2 linked regions of the Kluyveromyces lactis genome follow. Each later gene encodes a partner of the first gene's protein in a complex. Links are inferred from orthologs where the notes say so. Each region holds a gene or a part of one and is shown on either strand. Other genes may lie near its edges. The genes, in order: KLLA0_E22727g and ARL1.

What was found.
Region 2: the proteins of KLLA0_E22727g (region 1) and ARL1 are in contact, whole or in part, in a cryo-EM structure (PDB 8EZJ), measured with the Saccharomyces cerevisiae proteins. The link is inferred for Kluyveromyces lactis from reciprocal best matches to the Saccharomyces cerevisiae genes GEA2 and ARL1. Residues at the interface, in NP_010892.1 of Saccharomyces cerevisiae: Pro71, Phe72, Ser74, Gly75, Gln78, Leu79, Met82, Asp93, Leu95, Thr96, Ile97, Gln99, Pro100, Leu103, Thr107, Ala144, Asn147; in NP_009723.3 of Saccharomyces cerevisiae: Ile50, Gly51, Phe52, Ser74, Ile75, Pro77, Tyr78, Arg80, Cys81, Tyr82.

The regions. Positions count from the first base shown.
Region 1 is NC_006041.1:2,027,265-2,031,591, forward strand, and holds the start of KLLA0_E22727g (uncharacterized protein), read left to right. Parts: upstream 1-1,526; coding exon 1,527-4,327. Other genes in the region: peptidylprolyl isomerase CPR7, read right to left, coding at 1-1,134. UniProt on the Saccharomyces cerevisiae protein: Activates the ARF proteins by exchanging bound GDP for free GTP. Plays a role in maintaining mitochondrial morphology. Stimulates DRS2 flippase activity.
Region 2 is NC_006041.1:2,192,934-2,195,657, reverse strand, and holds ARL1 (Arf family GTPase ARL1), read right to left. Parts: upstream 1,105-2,724; coding exon 553-1,104; downstream 1-552. Other genes in the region: UBS1 (Ubs1p), read left to right, coding at 1,998-2,724. UniProt on the Saccharomyces cerevisiae protein: Recruits golgins such as IMH1 to the Golgi. Can bind and hydrolyze GTP. May be involved in trafficking events within the endosomal system.

The sequences.
Region 1 (4,327 bases):
TTCGAGATCGCTCGCGATTTTCTTCTCTGTAATATCTATTTTCTGCTCGACGTTCTTATCCTCGGGAACTGTCTTTGCGCTGTTCTTATAGTCAGTGAGAGCGGCTTCAAATCTATTCAAAGCATAAAGACAATTGCCCCTTCTTAAGTATGCCTTTGCCTTGTCTTTGTTTCCTACACGGTCATCATCCACTAAAAAGGTAGAGTATTTGATTGATTCATGATACTCTTTCAAATAAAATAGCATCAGACAGATGTTCAAATATAGTTTATGTTTCTGGATAGTGAACTTCTCATTATGAAACTTGTCTATATCCACTTCAGGAGTATATGCAGTAGTATATTTCAAGGCCTTCTTGTATTTGAAAAGAGCGTTCCTAAAGTCTCGTTTCTTGAATAGCAGAGAACCAGATTCTTTAATGGTCTCTGCTGCTTCATATGCTTTGGCAAAATCTTCGCCTTCGAAGTGGGTGTCATCATCTGGATTTTCTTCATAAAAATCATTACCAATTGTATCGTTGCATGCATTATAAAGAGGTATTTCCATATTATCAGACCATTCACCGCAATCTTCTATGATTATTGAATCATTTGGTACTCCATTTTCATCGACATCCATATGCTCAATTGTGCGAACAACAGATTTACCTGCTATCACTTTTCCAAACTGAGAATGTTTACCGTTTAGATGGGGAGATGGATAAGTAGTAATGAAGAACTGAGAACTGTTGGTATTCTGTGAACCAGTGTTGGCCATAGCCAATATGAAGCTTTCGGTAAATTCACCCAAATTTTCATCTGGAAAGTTCCCAAAACATTGAATTTCATTTCTAGATGAATTTTCCAACTCAGATTCAGTCGCATAAATTGAGCAACCGCCTTTTCCAACTTCTTCTTTGTTAATCTTGTCGTCAGAACCGAACATCAAATCTCCAGCTTGAATCATAAAATTCTTAATGATTCTATGGAAGTGATTTCTTTTATAGCTTAACACTTTACCATTAAGATTGACATCTCCTCTGCATAGATGTATAAAGTTAGCACATGTTTTAGGGGCTTGTTCGTCGAACAGTTCGCATACGATTCGGCCTATTGGCTCATCGCCGATCTTAATATCAAGATATACTTTGTGCATTTCAACAATGAATTCAATCTTACAGGAGGAGCAGTTATCCTTTTTGACCTATTACCTTATCTTTTTCTATTGTTACTTTGACCACAGCTATAAAGCGCAACTTAGCTTTGGAACAAGGAGGCTTTAACTGATGGGATGAGGTATTCGTTCTCATCTCATCACTGTTCTTAAACTAGCTGTTCATTCGTAATGTCAAATTCGTAGATCATTTTGTCCGGGTAAGAAACTTTTATCAAAGTTCAGGCGATCTGGTATTGGGACCTCGAAATCAAACAAAACTTTGGGAACAGTGTGATAGGTAAGTAAGAGGGAGAAGGAGAAGGAGAAGAAAGGAAGGACTTTTGATCGCGATTAGGGTTCTACGGTTGACTAAGCTTGAACCACTTCAAAAAATGTATCGACAAGAAATGACTCGTGATAATGTGGCTGTTGATCCGGTCACAATTGTCATCAAGGAATGTATTTCTTTGTCGACTTCTATGAGGAAGTACGCGAAATATTCGGTGCAATCTGGTGTTGCAGCCTTGTTAGGGGGGGGAAGTGATATATTCATAAATCAGGACGCTTCATTGGCAGGTACTTTCAATAATTTAGCAGCTAGTAAGACTAAGGATCCACTACTGTCGGGGTTAATTCAGTTGAGATTGATGTTAAATCATAAAGATAATTTAGAAGATGTTGATGCGCTAACTGTCTTGCAACCTTTCTTATTGGTGATAAGCACAGCTTCAACGTCAGGATATATTACATCATTGGCCTTAGACTCATTACAAAAGTTTTTCGCCTTTGGTATTATTAACGAATCTTCGAAAAACCATGTCGCAGCTTATAGACAAACGATCAACTCTTTAACCCACTGTAAATTTGAAGGTACTGAACATTTATCCGATGATTCTGTCCTTTTAAAGGTATTGGTTCTTATTGAATCAATTATTGCTTCTCCTTCAGGTGAGATTCTTTCCGACTCATGTGTGTACGATGTGTTACAAACTGTCATGTCCTTGGCTTGTAACAAAAGAAGAACTGATGTGTTGAGAAAGGCAGCAGAAATGAGCATGCTATCGATTACCGTCAAGATATTTGACAAGTTGAAAAAGTTAGACTCAAGCAAACAACACATCTTCATTAACGATCAGGACTTCTCGAAGAACGTTTTGAAAGATGACAACATAGGTGCCGAAGGAAGCAGTGACATTGATTCCGTTGAAAATGGCAATTTTACAGCATCAAGTGAAAGTCAAAATTTAGAATCGGACTACGGACTTGCAGTTATAAAAGATTATATGGACATTTTAGTGTCTCTTTTGTTGCCTGAGAACCAACACAAACAAAACAATTCCACTAAGGTGTTTGGTCTGCATTTACTAAATACAGCCATTGAATTAGCTGGCGACAAATTCCCACAACATCCGCAGTTGTTTTCCTTGGTTGCCGATCCTATCTGCAAAAACATTCTGTATATCATCCAAAATTCGGATAAACTCTCGTTGCTACAGGCTGCCCTGCAGCTGTTCACAAATTTGACCATTATACTTGGTGACCATTTATCATTACAAATTGAATTTACCATCAACACTATTTTTTCAATTTTATTAGATTCAAACGTTTCAGATGAGACTAAGCCAAGACCAGCTGTTGTTAAAGAATTATTGATTGAACAAATCTCAATTTTATGGACAAGATCTCCTTCATTTTTCACCGCTGTTTTCATCAACTTTGATTGCAGCTTGGAAAGGTCGGATTTGGCTATTGAGTTTTTGATGGCATTAACAAAATTATCTCTACCGGAATCTGCGCTAACGACATCAGATAGTGTTCCTCCAATCTGCTTGGAAGGATTGATATCTGTTGTAGATGATATGCATGATCACTTTTTGAAAGCAGGAGTGCAGGAATTCGTTCCGGAAGAACTGGGCACTCTCAATAAGAGAAATTTGAAGACCGAATTCATTAAATGTGCAGAGGAGTTTAATAAAAAGCCAAAGAAAGGCATTCCATTGTTGATTGAGAAAGGTTTCATTTCGTCAAATTCTGAAGATGAAATAGCTAAATTCCTTTTTGATAATAATGCTCGGTTGAACAAAAAAACTATTGGTGAGTTTATTGCGGCGCCTGAAAAAGTCGGCCTTCTTGCAAAATTTATTGGAATGTTTGACTTTACAGGTTTAAGAATTGATGAGGCAATCAGAGCGCTTCTTACCAAATTCAGATTACCTGGTGAATCTCAACAGATCGAGAGAGTTGTGGAACAGTTCTCCGCTAAGTACGTCGAAGACCAACACTATAATCCTGAAAGAGATGGGCTGGAAATTGAGGGAGATTATTCTACAATTCAGCCAGATGCAGATTCAGTTTTCGTTTTATCTTACTCGGTAATCATACTGAATACAGATTTCTACAATCCTCAAGTGAAAAAACATATGACATTTGAAGATTATACCCTCAACTTGAAGGGTTGTAACAATCAGAAGGACTTCCCATTATGGTATTTGGACAAGGTTTACTGTTCTATCAGGGATAAAGAAATCGTTATGCCCGAAGAACATCATGGAAGCGAGAGATGGTTCGACGACAGCTGGAATAACTTAATTGCAGCTACCACAGTTGTAACAGAAGCTCACGAAGTCAGCAAATGTGAAAGCTATGTCCAATCGTTAGGCCCTAATCAATTGATACAATTTGATAAGGCTATTTTTGAAAGCGTGGGTTCTTCCATTATAGAAACTTTGTTTAAAATTTTCGAAGTTGCTTCAGACGATCATATCGCAACTAGAATGCTCACAACGTTAGATAAATGTTCAAATCTTGCCAGCTTGTTTGAACTTGGTGATATCTATAACGATGTGATTACAACCATGGCCAAATTTACTACTTTGACAGGAGAAAGAAAACCTGTTGACGACGTTTATGTTGACGAAATACCCGTCGTTCAGATCGATGTGGAAGATTCTAAAGAAAGCATTGCGGTAAGTAATGTAGCCATTCTTCTAGGCAACGATTTCAAAGCGCAGCTGTCAACCGTTGTTCTATTCAGAATTTTAAGACAAAATACAAACGTGGCTCTTATTACTGAAGTGACGTGGAATAAAATTATCGATATGCTTTTGAGTTTGTATGAAAATATGTTGATAACACCAGATATTTTCCCAGATTTACAAGTGAGATTGAAACTACCAAACCTACCTAAATGCAA
Region 2 (2,724 bases), about 170 kb from region 1:
TGGTATTTGTTTCCAGTATATGATATTCGTCGAGGGGGTAATGTACACCTGTAATATATAACAAAGAGATTTACCTTTTTACGTTGAGCGAAGTAATACATCATATACTGAATGATATGGTGGTAGTTGGCAAGACCATGTTCCATTTAAAGGATTCGTGGTTGCATGGTATAATGACTGCTTAATTATGCGAATTATGAATATGCTATATATATAATGAAACTAGGGCACGATGGAATGGTTTGAATAGGAGAAAACATTATATCACGCATACGCAAACGTAAACGAAATAGTGGAGGATTTTGGAGATGAAATAAAAATGCATGGGAAAATTGAATGTCTATTGAAATAAGCGTGTAAAGGAATTCAATAGGACATTACGCCAGCATCGGCAGGAAGTAAACAATTCGAATTTTAACTTTGTTATTAGCTTTGTCATTTATTTTTATTACTATCTTAGGTCATGTCAAATTAAAAAAGCATTTCAGTTGTAGATAAATATAATGGGACCGGAAGCACTAAAAAACATGCAGTTTTCAATTCCTTCTACAATTACATTTGTTCTTCCTTAATCACGTCAATTAACCAATCCAAACCTTCAGTTATCCCTTCGCCCTTAATGGCACTGGATGCAACAATACTCCAGCTTCTATCCTTCAATTCTGCCAAGTTCAACTCCTTTGATACTTCTGACGCACTTAATGCGCCTGGTTGATCTTGTTTATTGGCAAATACGAGCAGAGCGGAGTCCTGCAATTCTTCTTCTTGCAACATGAGGTGCAATTCCTTCGAAGCTATATTCATACGGTCCTTATCTGTAGAGTCAACAACGAAGATAACTGCTGCTGTGTTTGCGTAATAACAACGCCAGTATGGTCTAATCGAAGTTTGTCCACCTAGATCCCACACGTTAAGTTTCAAGTTTTTATAATTTAACGTCTCTACATTGAAACCAATGGTAGGTTTTGTAGTTATCACTTCTCCTATCTGTAGTCTGTACAATATCGTCGTCTTACCAGCACCATCAAGCCCTAATATCAATATACGTAATTCTTTTTCCGCACCCAATAGTCTATCAAACATAGAACTAAAGAAGTTACCCATTGTGATATTTTATAAGTAATTGCTGTACTGCGGTCAATTCAAAGGTAGTTGGTAATTAAAGAAAAGGTGTATTAATAAGTCAATTAATAATTTAAAACCAAAACTTTTGTACTAGTTGATATGTAAAATTAGGAAGTACTTGTTCAAAATATTTCTTATTTGAGAACCAGTTACAGCCAAAATTCGAAACAAATAAACGAATAAACAGCGATCCAGACAGCGGTAAGTTTGTCTCCTGATGTGTAAACAATTTTATTGTATTCGTACTATAAGATCAGATAATGTCTTTGTAATGAGTGAAATATTAAATACAATGAAATCATAACTCCTAACCAATGCAGTGTGTTATTAATCACTCGATCCTGAGATTTTCCTTTCACTAAAATTGTAGTTGGCCTTTTAGTGGCCGGGTAACAACAAACAAAGAGACCCCATTAGACATAGTAAAAATTACTTGCGTATATAGTCTGTATCGTTCACATTGTCCTCGCTGTATTTTTTTGTTCAATCTCAATTTTTTATATATGCGAGTTTGTAACTGCAGAGAGCTCACATGAGGCATACCGGTACTGATTAATGCTCTGAATTTTCTTTCTTCTTCTATCTGTATAAACATATTCTACAATATATGAAGAATTTGTAGATCAAAAATGATAATCAGAGAAAAATAATAATAGAATATATTAATCTGATTTGTAAAAATACAAAACAGTAAGACTGCATACCTTTGCATGCAAAGCTAAGGGTAACGTGATTATTATTGGATATCTTAACTACTATATTGCCAACTAAGTGTGGTAATATATCATTATTGGAAAGGCTTTTCCATTGCCTATAATTGTTATTCTTCACTACTTTTTTTTCTTTCAAATAGCAGGCCACATCCACATAAGATGCATCCGTTGTACAGGAAACTCCTTAGGGAATGGAAACGTTTGAGCCATTATAAGCACTCTACATGCCATATCAAGCCACAAGAATCAAATTTGCAGTTCTGGAATATAGTACTACATGACGAAAGCCGAGATTTGGAACTTTACTGTGTTGTTTTCATAAGCCACAAGCCTATGAACGAATGGGAGCCTATCATACTATTAAACTGTTTGACACCTAATCCCTGCATACCTGTGAATAAGACTATCTGCTTGAATCATCTCTCTCCTGTTCTTCTGAACTATGGGTTGTGCTCCTTTTATGAGCATTTGTTATCATCAATTTATAGTCGCTGTACTAATATCACCGATTATCATAAAAAATTGGCCATGGCTTGGAACAGAATTATGGTAAAGGAGTTCAAGAATTTCTCCCCGCGACTATTCGAGTCTTACTCGGTGACTCAAACAGACGTTCAGATGGTAAACGAATATTTGCAAACGCAGGCTCAGTCACAACCTAATCATACAAAAAGAAACTCCCCGAAATTGCATAGTAAAAGCCCAACCCCGGTAGATACCCATAACCACATAACAAACGAAGACTGTTCGGAACAGTTATACAGGGGAAAGAGGCAAAGAACCGGGTTGAGCTCTTTTATGAGTGTGAGTCCACTCACAGAACCGAATCTCAACAACTTGGAAACCTCTGAAGATTGTGACTTTTTAGAAAGTAGAAAACGCAGGC